Linked DNA regions of Daphnia pulex. The protein of the gene in region 1 purifies or fractionates together with the protein of each later gene. This does not show direct contact. Links are inferred from orthologs where the notes say so. Each region holds a gene or a part of one and is shown in the gene's direction. Other genes may lie near its edges. The genes, in order: large proline-rich protein BAG6-like and ATPase ASNA1 homolog.

The links.
Region 2: the proteins of large proline-rich protein BAG6-like (region 1) and ATPase ASNA1 homolog purify together in Homo sapiens (co-immunoprecipitation; 5 studies listed by BioGRID and IntAct, with this or other methods). This does not show direct contact. The link is inferred for Daphnia pulex from reciprocal best matches to the Homo sapiens genes BAG6 and GET3.

What each region holds. Positions count from the first base shown.
Region 1 is NC_060023.1:11,630,631-11,642,583, reverse strand, and holds large proline-rich protein BAG6-like, read left to right. Parts: upstream 1-981; 5' UTR 982-1,247; coding exon 1,248-1,316; intron 1,317-1,385; coding exon 1,386-1,503; intron 1,504-1,572; coding exon 1,573-1,725; intron 1,726-1,787; coding exon 1,788-2,016; intron 2,017-2,075; coding exon 2,076-2,517; intron 2,518-2,579; coding exon 2,580-3,461; intron 3,462-3,529; coding exon 3,530-3,784; intron 3,785-3,859; coding exon 3,860-4,057; intron 4,058-4,121; coding exon 4,122-4,221; intron 4,222-4,279; coding exon 4,280-4,410; intron 4,411-4,474; coding exon 4,475-4,948; intron 4,949-5,026; coding exon 5,027-5,183; intron 5,184-5,256; coding exon 5,257-5,462; 3' UTR 5,463-5,465; exon of another isoform or gene 5,466-5,638; 3' UTR 5,639-6,046; downstream 6,047-11,953. Other genes in the region: transcriptional adapter 1-like, read right to left, coding at 1-89, 157-444, 504-540, 600-667. UniProt on the Homo sapiens protein: ATP-independent molecular chaperone preventing the aggregation of misfolded and hydrophobic patches-containing proteins.
Region 2 is NC_060021.1:8,080,146-8,093,275, reverse strand, and holds ATPase ASNA1 homolog, read left to right. Parts: upstream 1-6,962; 5' UTR 6,963-8,235; coding exon 8,236-8,360; intron 8,361-8,431; coding exon 8,432-8,579; intron 8,580-8,644; coding exon 8,645-8,796; intron 8,797-8,869; coding exon 8,870-9,020; intron 9,021-9,084; coding exon 9,085-9,192; intron 9,193-9,258; coding exon 9,259-9,468; intron 9,469-9,536; coding exon 9,537-9,659; 3' UTR 9,660-9,831; downstream 9,832-13,130. Other genes in the region: nuclear hormone receptor FTZ-F1-like, read left to right, coding at 1-130; uncharacterized protein LOC124194159, read right to left, coding at 2,655-2,688, 3,065-3,162, 3,231-3,365, 3,433-3,534, 3,594-3,694, 3,760-3,823, 3,886-4,026; U3 small nucleolar ribonucleoprotein protein IMP3-like, read right to left, coding at 4,328-4,351, 4,415-4,487, 4,555-4,761, 4,820-4,927, 4,991-5,127; transcription factor VBP-like, read right to left, coding at 5,974-6,096, 6,177-6,245, 6,304-6,792; zinc finger X-linked protein ZXDB-like, read right to left, coding at 9,961-10,155, 10,217-10,557, 10,616-10,799, 10,859-11,083, 11,143-11,289, 11,351-11,440, 11,502-12,146; uncharacterized protein LOC124194154, read left to right, coding at 12,650-12,694, 12,751-12,808, 12,896-12,999, 13,058-13,130.

The sequences.
Region 1 (11,953 bases):
TGGCTGCAGTAACGAAGCTGTGGTTTCTCTACAGTGCAAGGAGCAGAAAATGGTAACAGAGAAACTGGATTCACTGGTTGGAATCGATTCTAGATAAGAAAAGAATTATGTTAATCAAGGTCTCCAATGAAAATTCCAATAATTAAGACATATTACATCAAAGTTGACAGTGAGAGGCTTGTTCTTTGGGTAAACTTGTCTTGTCACAGTGATCGGTTTGATTTCAACAGAATTACGTTTCTGTAGAGGAATGGTATGTGGTCTGATTTTGTTCACTTCAGTGACAACAATTGGCTTTTGCTTCACACCATGATAGACATAGGTTGAAGGCTGGCACAAGCTTTGACATTTTGTAACAATGGCCAAAAGAAACTCATTGTGAAGATGAACTTGGTCTACTTTCAGGTACAATCTGGCTTGGCGATCAAACTCTTCTTTGCTTGTCTAAATAGAGAGAATGTCAGTTATGACTGAATGGATAGTATAAAAGAAACATTTCTTACCCTCATACAAAACCACGATTTCAGGTGGGCAAAATAACTAAATAAAACATGATATTAGAGATATACCACCACAAATATCAAATCTGATTTATTTACTTCTTAGAAGAATCTCCCAAAACATCCACCAACCGTTTCCTGGCTTCGTTAACATCAAGTGCATTCATTGTTGTTGTGTTCTGACTTTTGAACTGCTTCGCTCACTTTTTTAGATTTAACTCGCCATTGGATTTCGTCTACACCTGTCTTGCCTCGACTATCGAAAACCACCAAAAGATGGTGCTCATTCCAGGAATTGATTTTCATAAAATAATTTTTTCCTTGAATTTGTCATTGATAAATATAACGTGTAAAATTAGATAAAATCTTGTTCGTAAAATGTACAAATTATCATGAAATTGAAGTGAATTCCTCTTTTACGGTTTAAAACCAAGAGAAATAGGTGGCGTTGTAACACAACTTGGTTCGTAAGCCTATGAATTGTCGGCTGTGTCGTGTCGTGTCGATTCGATGTGGAGACAGTTGCGCCTCTATTTGTTATCGTGTATTATTACAGGCCCGATTTCCAGTTTTCCACGTTAGAGATTTACATTTCGACACCCATTACACAACTGACGTCGGTTCAGAGCCGTCCGGTTAGATCGGTAAAATAAAAAATACTGAAACCGAATAATTATTATTAGTGTGTCTGTATCGTCACCAAACTACAGCGAGGTTGGAACTCGAGGTGGTGAAAGCTAAACAAAAATGGCAAATATTGAAGTTACCGTCAAAACCCTCGATTCGCGTAATCATAAATTCACAGTTTCAGAGGAGGTAAGACCATTAAAAGAAACGACTCGTGAGTTTTAGATAGGGGAAACTAACTGGATTTCTGTTTTGCAGCTCACAGTCAAGGAACTTAAAGAACACATTGCTGGGGATGTAGGAACACCAGCAGAGACTCAGCGTTTGATTTACTGTGGCAGAGTTCTTCAAGATGACAAAAAGCTCAGTGAATATGGTAAATTGAAAATACTCTTTCCTAGCTCAAAACAAATGATTGGCATGTAAATGTTTTTGTGTTTTACAGACCTGAGTGGAAAAGTCATTCACTTGGTCCAGAGAGCACCTCCAACAGTTGGTAATCCTCCTTCAGGACCACCAAGAACTCAAGGATCTAGACCAGGAAACATTCACTACCACCTAGACAGAGGGTTTCAAAATGGTGCCAATCATTCATTTGGTAAATTTCTCATCATTATTAAAAGTAGAAATCTCAATAACAATGTTTACGATCAAATGAAGGTTCAGTACCAGCTCCAGCCGGAAGTAGTTCTCTGTTGCGTTTGAATACAGCCAGACACATGCTGGAGGATGCCTCACAGAGTTTGGGAAGGATCAGTTCAGTTCCCAGCACTGGTTCACTCTTTACAATGGATAATACTGCTGAGGGACCCTACTCATCCATACAAATGGTTCAAGCACAGGCTGCCACTGCTATAGCTGCTGCATTTTCAACTGTTCAATCCTTGGGGTAATGACAAACCTCCAAACTAAAAAACTAAAAATGTTAGTTACGTTTCTTTTTATCAGGGCAAACAATATTGCCGTGTTGCAAGGACCTAATGGATCACCAGCAGTTCAAGGATCGTTTGGTTTTCGGGTGCAAGGGCCTCAACCAAATAATCCACCAGAGAGTGGCAGTGGCGCGAGCGAACGCGTAAGTCCTACAGCTCCGACTTCAACAACACCCCCTTCAACAACTCCTCCTTCAACCACCCCATCTGCAACTCCTTCGTCGGCTCCTTCGTCAGCTCCGTCGTCAGCTGCAGCTCCTCCTGGTGACCAACAACCTCGACAACAGCAAATTCGAAATCCTCGAGTGTCTGTCTTTGCCGATGTCATCGAAGATATGGAACGGATCCAGCAGGATCTTCGCCCTCATTTGACAACCGTCCGTCAGCTCCTCAGAGATGATCCCGTATTGGACAGCACATCACCTGAATACCGGCAAGCACAACACACCTACAACCAGGTTCAGTAAAATCATATTATATTTTCCTTTCCATGTTTTTCAATTGATTTTTGATCCAAAAGGTAGCCGAAGGATTGCACTTTTTGGCCCACGCTTTTCACGCCATGAGCGATTTAATGGTTGACTTTGGAACTCCCCCTCCTCGTGAAGTCCGTGCTAGACCCTACGTCTACCAACAAGTTCTTTCATCGACCATACCCATTCACGCTTCAATCAGCGTCGAGACTACACATACCCACCGAGCTCCTCAGACACAGGCTAACCCAGCAGCTCCTGAGGCCGCTACAGCTCCTCAACCGCAACCAGCGCAAGCTCCTCCGCGATTGCCCACAAGAATATCTCCTCATGAGTTCATCCGACACGTTACCCGCCCACCCACTGCAGCTACTGCTGCCAATCCATCAGTTCCTCCAACTACAAATCCGACATTTCATGGTTGGCGGGCTGCTGGAACGACCGGAACGGGTGTAGCTAATGCATCGGCGCAGAATCCCCCAGCTCCAAGAGCCTCAGTCCAAATGCTGCACCCTGAAATGCTGGTCAGGGGAGGACCGCACCCGTTTGGACGTTTGCCTTTAGCCATGGCGAGTCAAGGAGGCTGGACCCCTGTCAATTTAGGTGGTCAAATGCATCCAATGTCGCTCTTTATGGAAGTTCGCTCGAACAACAATCAACAGGAAGATCAACAAGCGTCTCGTGGGCAATCACCAACATCTTTGGGCGAATTTGACGACTTTTTACCGTGTCATTCTCGACATGTTACCCGCTCGTCTTCATCCAGACCCGACACTGAGCGAGCCAGACCACGCCCAGTGGTTGTCACTTCCACGTCGGCGGCACAAGCTTTTCCCGGTCTCAATCAAACCCGTCCACCAGGCCCTGGAAATCAACCGACAGCCGTTCCGGCCTCCGTCGACGAATTTATGAACGAAATGTTTCGTCAGGTAATTGCGGCATTGAAAATTGCGAGAGGAAAACATTGATAATGATTGGTCATTAAATGGAAATTCAGGTGACGGCCAATAGCGGTGTACTATCAGGCGGGGTAGTAGCAGGTGGAACGAGTGGTGGAGATGGATCCAGCAGCCCTAATCCAGTGTTAACCAACGCCTTGTTTAGTAGTTTGCTCCAGGGAGTCATGCAAGAAGTTGCGGGTGTGGTGAGTGGCCATCAGTCGCCCAACACGGTGGCCCATTTCTTACGCAACATTCCTGATTTCACTTACACGGCCGGCGAGTCGTTCCTCTTTGACCTCTTTATGACTATGGTGAAATTTACCTTGACGATGATGAAACGATCCATTCAAAAACTAACAGCTGACCTTTATTTTTTGACTAAAAAGGCGGATCACATGACATTCCGTGATTTGATGGCCCTATTTTACGGAATGCCGGAGGCTTTGAACCAGATGAGAGATCATTTGAGGAATTTCGCTCGTCAACGAGTCTTACCTTCCGGTGGTGACTTTTCAGACCCTTCCGTCCGACAGGGCATCATGACACTGGTCAATCAAGCCATGCCCTTACTCCAGAGTGCTGCCGTAGGACACGATTATTATTATTACATTTTTCATTTCAAGTATTGACTAAATTGTCTGGTTTTAGGCCGAGGCCAGCATTCGTCCCGATGTGGATTTCGTCGCTACCATGGCCCAATTCATCCAGCAGTGTCTTCACGAAGTCATCCAGTTAATTGGAATGCCAGGTATTATTGAACTTGTACTTGACGTTGATAGCTGATTGACTTTTCTGTTTTGTTTAAGGTGAAAATCCGAATTTCGGCCAACTGATGATGGATAAAATCCGCCGGACTTTAATACTCGCTGCAGCTTTAGCCCTCAATTGTTTCACCGATGGTTCCACTAGTCTTGAACGCGTTTTCCTATCTCAGTTGGTAGGATATTAAATGAATTATTATAATGAATTGAGGCGCTAATTGTTTTGTTATTAAAATGTAGCGTGGAGTATCGGATGGAGTTCATCCAGCAGTCCAAGAGTGGACGACAAATTCGTCGATCGAACGTCTTCGTTCACTTTTGGCTTCCGTCGATTTGGATCAACTGACGCCAACTATTGAGCCCATGGTGATGAACACGGAACGCGGAAGGACCTGGACTGCCCTTTTCAATGCAGAAGTGGAAGAGATGACCGACACAAATTCACCGGCCGCAGCGACCGTCGTTGCTCCCGAGTCTGTTCCCCCAGTGGCTACTGGATCGACGGCACCAGTTGAAGAAGAACCGATGGATGTGGTAGAAGAGAAGACGGAAGAAGCAGCATCCGCACCAGTTTCTGCACAGCCCGCAAGACTTAGTCGACTAGAGAAACTCCGCCAAGATGTTCGTCAAAAGGAATCCAGCCAAGTGAAACCTCCAGAGCCGGTCATTGACGTCGTCATGGGCTCTCAGTCGTGGCACAACGAAGTCCCACGGGTCAGAATTTTTAGAAATCGTTTTTCATTCCACCCAAATTTTTAATTAATTTTGTTTTTAAATACAATTTTCTGACAGGAATGGGTACCGGTGATTGCCCGTGATATCCAACGTCAAAATCGAGCTCCGCCAAATGTGCCGCTCAGTGACGCCTACCTGGCCGGAATTCCCAATAAGCGACGCAAGTTGGCCGAAGGCAATCGACCCAACACAAATCCTCAGTTGCTCCTCCAGGGTAATTAATTCATTCATCATATTTTATACAACGTTTGTAAAACCCTTTTTTTTTTTAATTTCTGAAATGTTAGAAACGATGGAACGCGCCCTGCGTTCTGCCAACGTCTCGTCGGCCGCCGTTGGTGAAGTAACGAATGTGGCCACTGCCAATGTCGAAGTGGGCAGCGCCCTTTTGCCGGAAATCCGCCGTTTGGGCAACGCCAGGCTGGACACGGACGCCGATTTCGATGCCGAACGTTTCCCTAACGCAGAGCGATACTTTCACGGAAACACTTAAAGAGTAAATAATAATAATAATAATAATAAAACAAAAACAACAAAGAATCGCCTCCACCCTGCCCTATTCTCTACCCCCATATAATTAATTAATCGGCCATTTTTCATGTTTTTTTTTCCCTTCTTCTTCTTCTATTGAGTCGCCATGTGTTTTTCATTTGTTCAAATTCGATGTAGGTGGAGTGGGCGATTTCGATCCTAATTGACTTCGATCGAATCATCATCATCTGATATAAAAAAAAGTAATAACTTTTCTTCATTTTTTTCCCTCTCATTGTTTATCCGTTTGTTTTCCGCCCATCAGCTTTTTGATTTAGTGGTTCCCTCTTCCTAAATTTTGTTTTTCTTGTAAAAGATAAAAATCAACCAAATGTTGGAAAGTTGTGCGAGTGTCATCAATATTTTGATTTCCCTACATTTTCCCGTCAATGGCCATCAACAAACTTTTTTTCCCCTTTTCGCTTGATGGCATACCCACCATAAACAAAGACAATTTTCTTTGCAATTTGGATTGTTTTTTTTTTTGTCTGCCTAACACGGAAATTGATAGATGATTGATTGAATAAAGATTTCTTTTTTTGTTTAGCTATTTTTCACCACTAGGTGGCGCTGATTATTTCATTTTGAAACTAAATGTTCTTCAAAAAAAAACTAGGATTGAAGAAAACTCAACACACACAATTTGGTTTTCCCTTTTGACATGTAGGAGGAATGGCTTTGATTAAAGAAGAGAGACACCGGCAGGGTTTGTTGACACACTTGACTTTGGGAGGTCATGACGGAAGTGATGGAAAAGAAGGTCTTCCCAGCAGCATCGGCAAAAGTCATCAAAGGCGATCGATTCATGGCCGATTGATATCGTTTGATGGAGGGAAAGATTTCTCTAACTTTTAATTGAATTTCCTATGGAAAAACCTTGGGATGTCTTGGATGACTCCCGTATGTTATTCATTATTGAATTCATGTGCTCCATCCGAAAGGGATCAGTTTTCTTCAGTTCCGGCCAAGGTTATGATTTTTTTTCGATAGAAAATTCGGAAATGTCGAAAATAGCTTGAGAATGTGCAGCAGCTAAAAAGCGGCAAGAGGACAGCGACCTCGACGGATTCCGCCAGTGTAGAAAGTGTTTTAAAAAACCCCATACACCCACACACACATGACAGTAGTAGTACAACAATAATAACAAATTCGTAAAAAAAAGGGAAAGAAAACTTTCTATCCGCTTAGCGCTTTCCACCACGATGCAGCAACTTCCAGGGAATTCACACACAATTGCATTGGTAAACAACTTTTGCTACTGTTGTCTAAAAAGAGCTATAGAGAGAAATCTTCCGGGTATTATTTTTCATGTCATTTACGGCCTTCATTTCGATTTATGTTGTTTTGATCAACTGCTGGTTGTATTTTATAGGGAGATGATAATTCGTTTCAACTTTTTTGTTTGTTATTAGATGATGATTGTGGTCGGGAGTCCTTGAGAGCAGCAGCGTCTACTCTTTTTCAATTATCGAAATTCATTCGGAATGATGTAGAAATGTAAGTGAATTTGGTCGATGATTGGGACAATCAAGGCCACATCTGCATCGAATTAAAGCCAAGTTTTTTTTAAATATCTTAATTGAATTAAGAGTTATGACGTTTTTCATTTAAAATCTTAACTGGTTCGTGTGTGTGTGTATGGGGATGGTAGACAACGATAGTCGGAATGGGAGAAGTAGGTCGGACGATGGGTGTTGTGTAAAAATTGTTTGATTACCGCAGATCGTCGAAACGAGTTTCGTGCATATAGAGTCGAGTACAATAAGCTCGGCAATGTGTAGAGTTGTGTGGGGGGGGGGGACGGCCATGTCTCTTTGCTGACAGCCACCAGCCGAGAGAGTGCGTTCACCTGCTGCCGCTCGAATGAAAATCCGGTTGCGTGAAAAAATAACACGGGAGAAGAGAAAGAACGCGTGGGGGATAGCAGACGATAAAAAAAAGAGAGAGAAACCTGAATCTTCAAAGTCGTGAAACGAGCGTTCAGAACGCCATTTGGAGCAGCAACAAACTGGAAACGCCAATTTGGAATAGTGAACTTTGTTCCATTAACCTAGACGCACAAAGTTCATTAAAAGGAAATTTATTGTTCGCCATTAGAATAAACATTTCCTTCGCTTCAGAGACGAATTTCTGCTCGATCAAATTCTTTCATTCTTGGTTGACCTGGTTGCTGGATGGCCAATGATTTGCCAAAAAATTGAAATAATAATAATTGAGTGTGTGTCCTAGAAAAAAAAAATGATTCAACGTATACGAATTCTTTAGTGTCCCGTTGATGCCCATAAATGTGTCTGCTGAGAAAAAAACTGGACAGACCGGAATTGAACAATGGAGGTCGGCGGCCATGATTTTTATTCAGTTGTCTGCCAAGAGAACAAATTCATCATGAATACCTTTTACCGACTAGTAGTAGAGTTACTCCCCTTTAGAGTTTCGCCATATTTAAAGGGCAACTGAAAAAGAAACAGCTGACTGCATCCAACACGTCGGTGTGTACACAGGAGAAAGTGGGTTAGCAGGACGTTCAACTCTTTGCCGTGCAGTGTCGGCGCGGGATGAAAAAAACTAGTCATGGCCGTGCGCCATTTTCGGTTTTGTTTTGTTTCTTTTCTCTTTTTTCTTTCTTCGACTTCATTGCCGAATCACGGTGTGTGCATATATACAGCCAGCAATGAATCACGCCTATAGCCAAAAAGAACTTGTGTTAGACGTCCTTTTTTATTTTTGAGGTCGGGGATTTAATTTTTCTCGTCGTCGTGTGTGTCAATTTCGTCATAGCCGAAATTTTGTGTTTCGGTATTTTTTCTCTTCCAGTCGGGAAAGTCAACCGACGTCGAGGCGTCTCTCGTCGATCGATGCCGTGACGTCATTTTTAGACGTCGGGGTCGTCTACCTCTGCGTATTAAACTTTCCTTCTCTTTATTCTTTTCCATTATGTACATGCACTACACCAAACTACGCACAAGTGCACGCACGAAATCTGGATTACTACGCAGAATCTAAACAAAATGGCCGTCGTTTTAAAAAATAAATTTAAACATTAGAAATAAACAATGTTGAATTTTAGCACGACATTTTGTTCTCATTTCTCAAATTATTTTTTAAAAATAAAAATTTAAATATAAAAGTATTCGGCCGCTAGGTGGTGTCGCGGGTTCTTTCCGGTTCGGAACCCGCGTGTTCTTTTTTTATTTCTCCTCCTCTTTTTTTGGGAGGGGGGGGGGATCAGTGGGGTCGATTGAGAGGGAGGGTGGGGGGGAGAGTAGAGCAAAGGCAAAATAGAAACTAGAGGCAAACCCGAACGAGAGGTCGTTGCACTCTGCTGTGTGTGTGTTCTGTTCTGTTCGTCTGTACCGGCCCCCGGTTGTTAAAAAAAACAATACATTCAACTATCAATCGAATACAATTCGATTGAATCAAAAACTACCAAATTATTCTGGGGGAATGTCCAAGTGAAATTTCGTGTTACCAAAGTAATTGCAAACTTTTGACGAGTGTTGGATGTGTCGCTAGGGGCAACCTGAATACAATTTTTGTCCGAAATTCCTTGATCCCTAGTGCTGCAAGTGCACACACAGTGGTTGATCGAATGTGTGAAAAGTAATTTGAGAGAGGCTCCACAGCCATTATTTGGGAAACTTAAAAGATAGAAAACCGTTAGATTTCTATTCTGGAGAGACTTTGTGACGCCATGAAAGAAAAACCAAATTGTTAAAACAACAACCAAGGTCGTGATGATGAATCGAGTCTCATTTGATCAGTGGGGCAGAGTCGTGCAGAGGCTCACGGTGCTTTGACCTTGACGCGATACTAGCGCCACCACCACCATTTTCTTTCTTTTTCCTCCGTTCTAAATTCGTTTCTTTTTCGTCCAATTCACCAGAAGAAAAAGAGAATATCTCACATTGAGAAGAGATATGTGCACTACTACTCTCTCTCAGCTGTTTCCAAGGGTGAGTCTCTGCTGTGTGTGTGTGTCTATTCGTTTTTCTTCCTCCGACCGACAAACACGTGAATAAAAGAAAAAAAAAAGATTAGACGAGACGAGAATATTATCGGCGCATGCGTTGGCACTCAGTCGCTCGTCGTCTGCCACCGTGTTCACAGTTCAAGTTCTTCTTGATCGAGTGTGGTGTTTCGTTTGATTCATTCAACTATTTGAACCGTAGAATTTTTGGTTATTAAACCAGTGTGGTTTGTCTATCATTTTGCCAGTGTGTGTCCAGTGCGAAATAATTGAATTGGAGATTTCGACAATAACAACGTGTGTGGTTGTGTTTTTTAATTATTTGAAATTCAACACTTCGTGGAATTGGTCATGGTCGGCCGCCATTATTACGTAAGTGTGGACATCTTTTCGTTTTTCTTTTTAATAAATTGTCGATGGAATTTTTAAGGTTTTTTTCTCGTCCCGAGAGAGATTGTTGTGTGTTTTCGTAAAACATTCACGAAAGTCAGTGCCATCTAGTGGCGACCCAATTGACGGTCGCTGACTTTTTAGCCTCCTCCCGCACGCAACCCACTCACACCACCCTCAATCTCCACACAAACGTTTCTTTAGATATTATTTTTTTTTTCGTGACGGCCTCAAACCTGATTATTTAAAAATTAATTTTTCTTTTTTTAAATTTTCTGTCTGGATTGAAATTTATCGAAACTCTTTCTCGATCACGAACGAATTTTTTTCGTGATTCCTTTTTTCAATGTTTTTCGGTTGTGTGTGGCCTATTGAAGTCGACATTGAATGGGAAAAAAAAGAGGCGTGAATAGGCGCCTTATAGGTGGTAGAGTTAAAACAAAAAAAGGTTTTTTTTTGGGGTTTTCTGGGGTGGTGGGTGGGGCTTAGAGTGTCAGCGACCCCTGATGGAGAAACGAGGCCAGTGGGGGGAATCGGCTGAGAGAGAGAGAGAACGGGGCTTTTGACCGCGGGACTCCCGACACACACACACACACTTTCTCTTTCGTTTTGATGCCGACGCGAGATGGCAGAGTTTCTGTGTGTGTGTGTCTGCTATTCTATGCACACATACCTACGTAGTAGTAGAGTAGAGTAGACTCACATGGCTGGCGCATACCCTGGACTAACGGGACTAAATAAAATAAAAAACCGTTTCTTCTTTCTTTGTGTGCCCGCACGACGGTGACGTCACCGTCGTGCGGCGCGTGCACTCGGCCTATCAACGCGCCTCAATTTTGGAATGTTTCATTCAAACACATTTTTATTTGAATCGAACCATTTTTGGCGCACCAAATTTTTTTTTTGCCAGCGCGGGAAATTTGAATTTCGTATTAGTAAAATTTGGTATAGGGGAACCTTGTGCTGATTAGCGGGCAATAGCCCCCCCCCCCCCTTGTGTGTCATGATCCAAAGAAGAGAGCGGAGAGAGAAAAAAGAAACGAATAATATGGTGGCCTCGGCCGTGATAAAGGTCATCGCCGACCGTCCGACCGACCGACTCCCGTCAACTAGAAAACGGTGGTTCAACCCGGTGTGTGTGTGTGTGTACGAGTTGCCAATTGAGGTCGAGGTGGCAGCACCTTCACCTTGGTTTCCCCCCTCCCAACTGCTCCTATAGCTCCTACCTCCTATTTGCGGGAGGGAACAAAAGGGGTGAATGCTCCTTGCCAATGCAACTTGGATATTTTACGAATAATGGAGCAGCACACAGCTGCAGTGTGTGGAGAGAGACTTTCACCGACCTCAATTTTTTCTCGGGCGGTTTAGTTGTGATTTTTTCGTACGCTGAAACGAGTTGAGGGACGACGGCCACCACCACCAGGGGCTGGGCCGCCGAAAGTAGGAGGACAACACGTGCCGCCCGCTGCTGCTGCTGCATGTCCATTTTTCTTTTTTGGCGCCGTCCAGCGTTGCCAGTTGAGGGGAAATATTTTTTATATCTAAAGGAGGGATGACCGTGAGCGTGAGAGTGAGCGTTCGCCCTTCGGCAGTAGGACGCCGAGGCAATGAACGCTCGGGTGGGTGGGAAGGCCAATGACCGACCCTCCTCTTTTTTTTGGCTTCTCCTTGTGTGTACAGCGGGACTGAGCCAGCCGAGAGGAGGAGAAGGCGAAAAAGGAGGTCAGCGGGACACTTTCCATCGGCTCACGCAAAAATTACAAAATGAACGAGAAAAAGAGAAACGGGAACGCCGCCGCCATTTCTTTTATAAGAAGAAGGTGGAAGATTAAAATCGTCAGCAGACGACCGACAGGAAATCAATCGAATTATTAGTTTTTATTATTTGTTCATGAATATTTTTTTATTTTATTTTATAAATAAAACGTGTCAAGTAGGCCACCTGTTTTTATGACCAACAGGGTCACGCCCAACTCGCCAAGGTTATTGGCTGACCTTGTTTGGCTTGTCCCGTTTTCTCTCCAAAGGGTCAAACTTCACCCCAAAAACATTTTTTGGTCATTTTAAAATTTTTGTTATTTTTTAGAATTTTCATT
Region 2 (13,130 bases), on another chromosome or scaffold:
GTTGGCAATCTTACCCGACATTCACGCCATGTCGTCGCGCGGCGAAGAGTATCTCTATTTCAAGCATCTCAACGGTTGTGCGCCGACACAAACACTACTCATGGAAATGCTTCACGCCAAGCGGAAATGAGGAGGAATCATTGGCAATCTTTGACACCAAATAATTCCCTGCAACCACCACCACCAGGTAAGAAAATCGAAATTCTTTTTTCGTCTCTTTCTCGTTGCGCTTTCGTCCGAAACTGATTTTTTGTTATTTTTCTTGTAAATTATTTCCACGTATAGATTTGATGTGAGAATGTGAGTGTGTGACTGACTTTGTGTGTGAGTGTTCGAATGAAATTCGCGCAACTATAACAAACAAACAAAAAATATGCAGCGGCGTCAAGACGTTTTTGAGCTCTTTTCGTTTTAGATTTTTGAGTGAAATTGTCCAAACCAACGACGGTGCGCCAGAGGCTTTCACGATAGAGAGATTTGTTGGTGTCGATATATATTTTCTGGATCCCGGTGTTTAAAAATTAAAAATCTGAGAAAAAAGCAAAAAATTCGACCACGCTCACGAGAGATCTGCTGCCGCCGTTTCGTGCAAAAAGAAGTTAAAAACGGAGTCACACAAAATGTCCCTCACACACTTTGGCTTTATGAAGAAGAAAGAAAACCCTCCAATTGTTTGTAGCCATCCTTCCCTGTACATATAAAAATTGTAAAACAACAACAACACGAAACAAAAAAAGGCTAAACTTTTTTCTCCTTATGTGTGTAATCTTCTCTCTATTGATCGTTGACTCGAGCCACATCGCGCTCCTCCCTTGTTCACCTTGAAGAGTAGTAATGAATATATATCAGAGCCGAACGGGGGGGACCCCACTGGGAATGTGGCAGCATTTATCGTCTTAATTGTTTATTTCCCCACTTTTCTGTTTTCTCCAAACTGTTTTTTGTATTTCTCTGTGTGTGTGTACGTTTATTATTCTTTCTTTCTTTCTCCAATCTTTGGCTATTGTAGTGTGGCTACATTCCAAATCCACACACAGCTGGGATTGATCCAGTTTCAATATGAACGGCCGGGGAAAAAAAAGGCAACAAACCAAAATGTGGTCTGTTTATCTTCTTGGGACATTGATTTACCTTTAAAGAATTTTTTTTTTTTTCGTGGGCGATGGGATTGATTACAAACAAAAAAAAAACACACACAAAAAAATTTAAATCTTTCGATTGGGTTCTCTCTCTCTTTCTCTATTGTGACCGTTCTAATATTTTTTTTTCTATTTTTCTTTTCATTCCGCTCTGTCGGTTCGTGTCGGTTTTTTCTCCCTCCCGCTTATTATGGCGGTTAGTGTGAATGTGTGAACCAGTGTTTATGGGGATGGACATACAAAAGACTATTTAAAAATAATTAGGTTAAAAAAAGGAAAAGAGTTGGGTTTTGCGCGCGCTAATGTTTCAATTTCAATCCATTGCGTTTATATAAAAAAAAAAAAGAAAATTTGTCCTGCCAGACTTTTCTTCTTCTCTGCCGGAATGCAATCCTCTCTGTTATCATGTAACACACACACGAAACTGTTTATTATTTTTCTTTAATTCTCCCATGTCGATTTTTCTCCCTTTTCTGCGTGAATAGTAATTCTTGTGACGAAGCCGCCCAATGTCGGCTCTTTAAAATAAAAATAAAAATACAAATTTGTTCTGCGGTCAGGGGGGAAAAATTTTATTTGATTTAGAAAAAAAAATTAAGAATTAAAACAAAACAAAAAAAACATGTTACACATTGACGAAAATATTGTGTCTACCTTACGTTTCATTGGCTGAATTTGAACGCCTCTGTATTTTGTGTGTATGTGTGTGTGAATTCTCTATAAAAAAGATTAAAACAGAAATTGTACTTGGTAAACACAAAAAATTGTTACACGCTGAATTTTATGACCAATATATCGGTGAATTTTCATAAAAATGCGTCTTTTGGAATTTCGTTTTTATTTGGAAATAACAACAAAACCTTGTCTTGTAACAAAAATATCCGACTGGTACGCCGACGGATCACGAAGTCTGTTGTAGGTGACTGCCTGGGGCTGTTTCAGAAAAAGTGAAAGTTGCGCGTCGACATCGCCCCCTCGAGCACCTCCATTTACGGTGGTAACAACTTACACACACGGACACGGTACGCACACACACACACACAAGAAAAAAGTTTTGAAATCCCCTTTTCTCTCCAACAAAGAGATAACATCAACCACCGTAAATCCATTCGGAAATTGCCTGATCTTCTACGTGTACACAGAGAACGCGGATGGATTTTCTCCTGTCGGCGTTCAGTTCGTTATTCACGATACACTTAGTCAAGCTGCTTAATGGACATTGACGACGTCGTTGAATTTCGTAAGTCCTCAAGAGATTTTGCAAAGGTATATATAGTTACACATATACAGTGCACACGTAGGCAAAAAAAATAATATTTATTAAAAAAAGGACTAAATTTATTTCTATTTATTTTTCCTTTTTTTTTTAGACTCTTACGACAGACAGACTTTGTAGGCAGCCCATATGGGAAAAAGGAAAAATAAAAAGATTGTATAACCGGCGTCGGTCCCCAGGCCTCGGGCCTGATATAGCTCTCTCTCTCTCTCTCTATAGAACATGGGTCTAGTTTGACCTCATTCCGTAGACAGTGGTGAGCTCTGGATACATCTGAGAACAACAAAATAAATAAAGAAACAAGAATTTAAACAAAAAAAATTCAATGCATCACTATATTTGTAACGTAATAAATATCCTTGACGTCACAAATAAATGTGTGTACAAACAAATCGATAAATTTTGTTTGTTTTGTTTTTATCTTAAGAATAAAGTCAACCTTCGTTCCATAACCAGTTCCCACCGCCTCATTCACACACACACACCCAAAAATAAAAAATACAAACTAAAATATAGTGGCTGCAAACTCTTTTAGATTGTCTACGTCTAGAGAACTGACCAGTCTGGCGAGATTTGCATACACCCAAAAAATATCCCTGTATACATTATATAAGAGAGCCACAAAAAAAAACGAGAAAGTAGTATATACCGACAAATAGACTGATTCCATTTGAAGCCGTTTTGCTCGCACGTATGGGCCTCGCTCCTGTTGGGGCACTCGCAACGACAGTTGTTTTTAGAGTAGATCTAGGATACGAATGTAATTTATTCAGTGTCAACTGGTAAAAATAAATCTTTGATTGATATTTTTTTACCGCAGGCTTGTGGCAATCTTTCGGCTTAATCAGACAACCGCATTTACAACTGACGTGTTCCTCGACTTCCATCTGCATACATGTTGTCGAACGATTTTCCTTCGTTTTCGGGGCGGGCTCTTTAAGTGCGTAAACCTGAAATTATACAACAAAAAATTAAATAGAATGCGCACCAAGATAAGGGGAGAAAAAAACGACTTACCGAAAGTTTTCGCATCTGAGTTGTTGATGGTAGACAATGTTGGGCTGAACTGCTACATTTACTATAATTACATCGCATGACTTCTACATGACTCGGTTCGATCTGGTGTAAAATTCATCAAGTCAGGATGATTTTTAGTTTTAATTGGAGAATTATTTTACCTTGAAACCTTCAAATTTTTCTAAGGCGACAACATAAAGACGCGGTTTGCATTTTGCATTCCTGTTTTCGGCAGCAATTGCTTTGGCGTCACAAGTAGCAGCTGAATTTTACAGTAAAACACATTTTATATCACTCCATTATAAAATTGGGAGAATAATAAAATACACAAACTCTTATTTGCTTTTGGATCAAGAGTTCTCATTTTACGGTCCCAATGGTCTTGGAAAACCTTGACAATTTAGTGAAACGTATTACAATTTCATATAAACGTAATAAATGCATGAGCATTACCTCGTTAAAGAATTCAGTTTGGTAATTCCGCAATGTACTTTTCGATTGCCTGTTGAATTTTTTGGATCTAAAAGGTAATCCTGAATAAACTAGATGAATGAATATTAAGCAAACAAAAATGAAGGACATATTGGCAGCCATGTTTCCTTGACACTTGTGATTCAATCAAAAGTGAATGGAAAACTGTATAAATTTTCCGGTTAAGGGTTAGTAATAACCTACCGTGTCGATGAATGTTTGAGCCTTTAAGATTAACCGTGGTTTTCCCCCCCTTTGAAGCACTACGGAAACCCCATTAACCTCAGAGGAGAAGTTTGAACTAGAATGTATACTTATCTAACTCAATGAATTAATTTTATTCTAAAAATGACAGGAAATGAGCGATATTTAGTAGATAGAAAACGGGATGTATTTCCATACAAGTTGCATTTCGTCAAACAAGTCAAGCCATATTGAAATCATCTCTCTGAAATAGAAGGAATGAAATTGATTAATTTCTTTAAAAAATTGCAATAATGATCATTATTACCATCTCGTTGTATTCCATAATATGTTTCTTAATAGCTGAGGAGTCTACCCAGGTCACAAAATCCTCCATATTTCTAATTCATAAAAAAAGTAACTGAGTCATTTATATGCAATCAATAATTGAAAAGTTTTAATAAGTACCTGGTAACAAGAAATGCTGGGTCTTTTACCACTTCAGGACCAACTCTGACATGTCCTTGTTCCACAAATGTAGTTGCAGTTTTGATGGAATCTGCCATCTTTGCCCTAACCATGACCACAGGAAGTCTTCTTCGACAGAAGCAGGATGCTGTTATTTTGGAAACAAGATCAAGGGACCACTTGGTTGGAATTAAACCCATGGAATATCTAAATTTAAGATAACAGTCAAGTAACCTTCAGAAATTATATGAAAACAAAATTGTACAGTTTTTCCAAAAGAGCAGCGCTGCACTCCACTCTGAAAGGGTCTTTGGGGTCGAGCTCCTTTATCTTGTTTGCCAACTTTTTTACATGCATTACAAGTGTGCAGTACCTGCAATTAAGATACATCGTCAAAATGATTTCTTAAGAAATCTGTCATTTAAAATCCACTTACTTTGTGTAATCATCTCTTTTTTGAATTCTGTATCTTTTAAGAATTTGCACTTCATGAACATTGTTGTCAAGCTTCCAGGAGATGAAATCTACTTTTTTCAACAATTTCTGTTCATGATACTTTAGTTTTCGGACCATTCTGTTTTGTTAGTTTTTCAGACGTTGCACAGAAATCCTATGAGTTAATTCTTATAATAAAAAATCGATGAGTTTATTTCTATGACGTTGTACTCTACCTGGAACAGAGATGTGTTGCTGATTTCGAAATTAATTATTGAAGAATAAAGCTGCTAAACCTTGCAATCCCCTCGCGAAACGCACGAAAAGTTTGATACAAACTACAAACAGCAGACAAAAAAAGACAACTTGCAGACGACGGAAATCTCACACGTGTGTGGCTGCTGAATTCTCTTTAATAGTTAAACAAAGTACTAGGTGGCAGCATGCTACAATCTAATATTCGAGCCCTTCGTTCTTATTTTTAAATATTTATTATTTCAAAGTGCATCGCCAACAGCTAGCTTGTATTAAAACTAAAAATATGCGTCATATGCTTCCACGTAAATTCCTGTTTTTTCCAACATAAAAAACATTGTTAAAACATGCGACGTTTCCATTTAGGACTGATTCTGAGTTTTGACTCGAGTTTCTTGATAAAAGATGTCTTCACCAAGGACTTTGTTTAATGTATTCAACATGTGGGTAACTGTGTAATATTTAAAAAAAAATCAAGGACGGATGGTCATGATTGAAAGATTGTCGACAAGAGAAAAACTGATTTCTATTTCGTTTATTTTTGGCACTGTGAAGCTTAGTCGGTTGATAGCAGACGAGCACGTCTAAAAAAGAAATGATAAATAAAAGACGTGATGGATTGAAACCGAAAGAGAAATCAGTTAAACAGGAGGGATTAGCATTGGTAAATATAAAGGTAAAAACAATAACGTGGACAAAGTTCTTGTTTGTTCTCCCCACAACGTAAGCTCAACTGGTGGCAGCTTGACTACGGAGAATGGCGGAAGCGTTCTTGTGCAATAACATTTGCTTCAAGGCGAATGCTTCGTCTCTCAAAGTGGCCACTTGAGCTCTCAAGACCGAATTCTCCTTCTGTCAAATTACAAAATAAAAAACACTCAAATTGAAGTATGAATAACCAGTGAAATTGTTTACTAGATATTAAATCCTACCTCAAGGAAATTGGCGCGAACTGTAACTTGATCCTCACGGTTTTTCCGCATGTCTCGAGATCTCTTAGCCTTCAGAAAAAGATAATTTTAAAATTCTGTAATTTGGAAATTTTTATAGATCACTTACTGCAAGATTATTCCGACGTCGGCGTTCAAAATATTTGCCATCCTTCAAATCATCGGGAATAGGTTTCTTCTCACTCCTCGGCCTTCTCGTGGTGGCCGAGGCCAAGGCTTTGGCAACCAGGTGAGAAGGATCAGCAGGTGAGGCCGGACTTGTTGCATCTGATTGATTAAGATGGTCAGACTTGTTTTGTTGCGCCATCAGATCCCGCTGGAAGGAGAAAGCAGCCGCCATAGCATGCATTAGCTGTGATGAGTCAGGATGATGTTGATACGATGGCGGAATCGGCGAATCTTCACGTTGGTGATGACTGCGACTAGACAAATCAGCGGGCGATTCATCGTCGGCCGACGATGACGAGCTGGTAACTTCACTTCTTTCGTCGTTTAACGACATGCTTAAGTTCACGGGAACGTTGGCACCAACACCTTGACTATTAAAAATGGCCTGTTGGAGTAACGCATTCAAGATCGAGTTCTTAGTCTCCATCATCAAATGAGCACTTCTAACCGAGTCGATAACACTCGAGTAACTGACGACGATGATTTCGATACTGTAGTAAGATCAAGAGGACGACCATGAAATGTATCGACGAGTCGATGACATGACCTTCTTCCAACGAACTGGCCAACTGGGCTTAAGTTGTTTTAAGTCATCGACCTACTCCCCCAACAGTAGTCTCCATACTATTTTCTATTAACACGTTTCATCCCTTTACTTTATTCAAGGTCATCGTCGTCAATATTGGGTGGCACAGTGGTGTGGGATAGGGTCATCTATATATGGGTGAAATGACCTCACAAGAGATAAATGACCTCGAATGACTGAGGCTTTAGAACCTGACCCATATTTTCTATTCAGCTAAAAAGGGATAGTCTCATATCCCCAACGGCCGAGACCAACATACGTTTTGACCTGCAAGTGACCTTTTCTTCTTTCATTCTATACTGCCTCTGTGTCAAGAGACGTCATTTGAAATTCATTAGATTTTTGCGCGTTCTGTTAGCAAAAGTGAATTTTTGAAAATTCTTGAGCCTGAACATTGTGCTTGGAAACCTAAAATCACTTCACAGTAAGAAAATGATGCGATTTCCTGACGTTTTACAAGTTGAATAACCTCTTGTCATTACTGTCGTCGTTACTGTCGTTGATAGTTAAGTATCAACGACCTGCATTTAGATGTGTATTCGCATAGTCAGGCCTCTCCAGGGAAAAACGTCTGCAGTCCCAAAGCAAAAGGCCACAAATGGGGGAATATTCAGTTCTGAGAATCCACGTGCGTTGTGCACTAGCATTTTAAACCCTCCTACTTTTTTATCCGGAAGCTTTTTTTTTCTTTTAACATACCAACAGTCCTTTTAACTTAACCTCCAGGCATTTTCATAGATTTTTCATCGCTACCATTAGTTATCTTGCTGGAGTTGTTGTATACGTAATGGCCCCATGGGGGAAAACGATATTGCATAACAAGATTTACGGAGACAGTAGATTTATGTTTTTGTGGTTTACTTAATTTGTTATTGTGTTATATAAACTCAGAATTTTCTATTTATTAGCACTAGCAGGAGCAGCACCATATCCGCCCATCTAATATCCAATCATATCTAATAACTCGCAAACCCTGCTTCCGTTCGTCAACTTCCAAAGCAGTAAACACAATGTAACCCTTTATCTCTTTAATGAACATACTTTGATGTCATAACATTATTTTATATTATATGTATTGGGTATGGTGTCTTTTAATCAATAATTTGAAATATCCGCCCAAAAAGGAATGACGCCAGATTTATAAAATAAAATGACAAATGCCAATGTGTCAAATATGTATTGTGTCGTCTGCAACAAAATCCATTCACTAGTCCATTCGTGTGCTTTCTCACTAATCATTAAAACAATATTTACCGTCTGTTATTTCAAGGTCTGATAATACGTCTAATGGCGTCTAATATCGAAGAAGATTTTCTTCAGCTTGATCCGACACTTAACAATGTTATTGAGCAATCCACTTTGAAATGGATCTTTGTCGGTGGTAAAGGAGGTGTAGGCAAGACAACCTGCAGGTATAATGATTTTCTTTTGACATTTTGAAATTTTCGTAATAAATTTTATTTTCTGAATTTTGAAATTATAGTTGCAGCCTTTCTGTACAGCTGGCCCGTGTTCGTGATACTGTACTTATCATTTCTACTGATCCAGCTCATAACATATCAGATGCTTTTGATCAGAAGTTTAGCAAAGTTCCTACTAAAGTGAAAGGGTTTGAGAATTTATTTGCAATGGTAAAATGTTTTCATCTGTCAGTCTTATTATTAGTTTTATTATCTAATTTGATTTATTTTGTTAGGAAATTGACCCAAATGTTGGCTTTAATGAATTACCAGATGATTATTTTGAAGGAGAAAACAACTTTTGGAGAGCCAACCGTGGATTAATGCAAGAAATATTTGGTGCATTTCCTGGTATCGATGAAGCTATGAGCTATGTTGAAGTTATGAAGTATGAGAAATCTGGTCTAGATCTTGAACCATTTAAAAAAGTGTTTTTCTAATTTAATATTTTGTGCTTAAAGGTTAGTACAAGGAATGAACTTCTCTGTAGTGGTCTTTGATACAGCTCCAACTGGACATACTTTGCGTTTGCTTGCATTTCCTTCTGTTGTAGAGAAAGGGCTCAGTAAACTTTTGCGTCTCAAGTCGCAAATTGGGCCATTTGTCTCACAAGTAAGTTTTTAAGAACAAATATTGTTTGACCTTGATTACTAAACTAATTTATTGATTCTTGCAGATATCAGGTCTTATTGGCATGAGCAATGTTAATACAGACATATTTTCTAATCGTTTAGAGGAAATGCTACCAATTATTCAGCAAATAAATGAACAGTTCAAAGATCCTGTAATTTAAACAAATTACTTGTTGTTTGTTGTTTAAGAATTTAACCAACATAATTTTTTTCTATAGAATCGAACTACCTTCGTTTGCGTTTGCATTGCAGAGTTTTTGTCACTATACGAAACAGAACGTCTGGTTCAAGAGCTTTCCAAGTCAAATATTGACACACACAACATTATTGTTAATCAGCTATTATTAGACGCCCCAATAACATCAACTGGAGAAACGTGCGGACTATGCGGTGCTCGCAAGAAACTTCAAGCTAAATATCTTGATCAGGTTTTTTTCAATTATTGTCATATTGGTGAGGGGTTCTATTAATTGAATTTATTATTTGTCCGCTACAGATTGCCGACTTATATGAGGACTTCCACGTCACACGTTTACCCTTGCTAGATCGTGAAGTTCGTGGCGTCGAGCAAGTAAAGAAGTTTTCGGAGAACTTGCTGAAGCCTTACTCCCCAAAATAAAGATATGTATTTGTTAAGTGTGAGTTTTTTCATTATTATGAAAACCCATTATTGGTTCAAATATTTTGTAATTGTACTTCAGCATTTCATCCAGGAGAACCAATTTATTTTCCGATTTACTTTACCCTTTTCAATACGAAGTCAATAGCAACACAACAGCATTAATAGACAATCGAGTATATATTCATTTCAATAGTTTGTGAAGAGACGAAAATTGCCCTTGTGTTATAAGATATGCGCAAAAAAAAATGCAAAATGTGCATACCCAATGAAATATTGGATTTACAAGAGGAAGGACGAATTATTCCAAATCCCGCATGTTAATCGTCGACTGACTAAATTCGGAACATTCCTCACCAGTTTTCACGGGACTTGTTTGCCAACTCCAAACAATGTGGGCGTGACCAGTTGAACTTGTACTGGCCTCATGGCTTCCACCACCGGTATGAAGTAAGACGCAGACATTTGAATCTCCATTTGATCCCGGTCCAGCATCCTAATAAATTTTAATCATAATTATTACCATATCTCACAAAAAGAAACATTTTTATTTCTACCTGTAAACTGTCTGTCGGAACAGCGAGGAAAGTGACGACCGAGCGGTCTGCAGACATCTGTTCCTCGTCGTCTCCCAATAGCAATGCGATGTAGTCATTTTGAATCGGCTGATCAATTACTTTAATCAGTTCCGGAGGTTCCGTTGGAGAAACGGTAGCGGTGCATGGAGTAGAACGGTTACCGTGACATCGAACCATGTGTTTCCTCAGATTGGATTTGCCGGAATACTGTTTATTGCAACCGGGGTGCTCGCAAGGGAAGGTAAGATTGGCAGTATCAACATTATGTCTTTTGGCATGGACATATAAGGTACTCCTCGCTGTAAATTCCGCACCACAATCTACAAGTACGCAATGTTAATTGCGCTATTTAATTTTATAAAAATAAAATAAACTTACTTTCAACAGGACAACGAAACATTTTCATTCCGCGGTGTTGACTAAGAAGATGCTGCTTCAGATGTTCTGATCTCAAGTAAGCTTTATGACATTCCTGGTGTGGACATTTGAATGGTCGTTCATTCTTGTGAGTCCGCTGATGTCGGCTAAGCTTGCTTGGCGTTCGGAAAGCCCATCCACAGCCCTGTGATGAATTAAACAATGAATCCTTCCTAACCTTTGAACACCAAATACTTAACTCACCTCAAAATGACATACAAAAGGACGATCTCCCGTATGGGTTCTAAGATGTGATTCCAGATGAGATGGCCTGTCAAAAGATCGGGAACAACCTTCCCACTGGCACATTAATGGACCCACACGCGTATGACTACGAAGGTGAGTGGTCAGGGCGTTTAAAGAATGGAATCGTTTTCCGCAATTACAGTGATGACAAGCATACGGTGCTTCAACTTCTCGATGTTGCTCCTGTATTCGAAGAAAGACTGTGTTTGTTTTACATAAGCAGTATTTTTAGTTTGTTTTACCTTTAAATGGTTATCTAACTCTCTCTGAGTTTGAAATTCTGAACTGCACTGCTCAATTGAACATGAGTATATATTTGGTCGATCGTGAAGCTTTTTGTGTGAATTTAAGTTGTACAACGTAGTAAACTTCCTTCGGCAAACAGTACACTGAAATAATAGACGAAGAAAATCATTATCAATTGATTGTGCAAACCTTCAGCTATCTTACAGCAAAGTCTTTTTTCCCTTGATGACACTCTTTGTGGCGTTTCAACTTGTATTCTGAGAAGAATGACCAAGAGCAACCTTCAGCATCACACTAGAAAGGCAAATGAATAAATCACATAGCAAAGAATTTGAACAAGATTATTTGATCATACCTTAAATTGTCTGATTCCAACATGGGTCATAATGTGACTTTTGGCCATAAATAATTTAGAAAAACCTTTTGAGCATTCTTCAAATGGGCAGAGGTACAATGTTTCATTTTCATGAAGAACCACAATTGGTTTGGGAATTTTTTCACTGTGTACTTCATTAACTGAATCTGAAGGACCACTTTCCACCTTGGATTGTTGACTCTCTTTCTCACTATCTGATTCCAGAGCACTTACCTTCATGGACTCAAGTTCATGTGGTGTTAACAACATAATCTTTTCTTCAACAATATCAATGACTTTTGACTGTAGAGACATTAGGTTCTCTCTTTCATCCTGATGTAAAATGTTTGGAGTGTCCCGGACTTCCTCAAAGAGAATAGTCTCCTCAGTCGACAAAACAGCTGTTTCTTCATGAGAAGTGTTGAAACACTTGTCATCTAACTGCACTTCAAGCTCAATAATATTTGGAACTCCTTCTTCATCAGTTGTCAAAAGTTCTAATGGCAATTTTTCTCCCAAACAGTGAGAAAAATCGTTGGAGATAACAAGCGCATCAGGCGCTGATCTAATTTCGCTAGACAATCCGATCTGGTCGTACTCCATGCTGCTGGCAAGCTCATTATCTGTTTTAAACCACCTTTCCATTTTCAAACAATGCGCATCGATCAAATAATGAAAATTGAACAACAAATTTAGACAGAGATTTCAACTTCGCCACAAAAGAAAAAAAAATTAGTAAGAATGACAAACTAAACAGCGTTGCCAGGTTGAAGAAATCGATTTTACTCTTGAGATAATATTATTGTTCGTTTCACTGCGGTTCAACCTTTTATGAGTAAAATAAATAAATGAAAGTGTAGTAGATTAAAAAATGAGCGTAAAGGATGCTTCCATTTTCTTAATTACTTTTTAAAGGAATTTAACCTGACAATGGATCCATTCCAGTTTCCAGATGCCGCTAGTAGACGCCCCACAAAATAATGTAGTCTATTGCGCAACAGTGCAACACATTTCAGACTTTCAGTTCGGTACCAGCCTTTGGAGTATCGAGAACGTTTTTGTGGCGCATTTAAATTCTGAATTTGACTAATTTCTAGTGTTCTATGATTTTCTTTTGGGAAGTTTGTGGGTCATAAAAACTCATAATAATGGCAACAAATAGAACTGAAGAAGATACTTTCGGAGAACTAATAGTAAGTGTGTTATTTTCATTCCAAATCACCCATTATCTAAAAGTCTTTTGTCTCAGAAAACATTTTTAAAGGAGTTCACTGAGGGGAAATTCAGTTTCAATTCAAACAACGATGGTAATAAGTTAATTGGCAGTTGAATGAACTGAAGTCAGTTATCAATATGTTGCATTTTCCAATATCAAATGTCTTTTGTGTTCACAGAGTGTGAAGCCACATTGAATATGTCCACACATTTGTTTGCTGGTCTGAGAACTTCCCAACAAGAGAGGAATGATGGTCTAATGTTGAAGAGCTTAAAATACTTGGTATGTACATACATTTTTGTATTTATACAGCACATTTTAATTGATGTCGCTTTCACAGATGGAAAATAATCAAGTAAGCCGGCAGTTTACCTCGAACATGTTACCCACCCTGCTCACTAAACATAAGGATA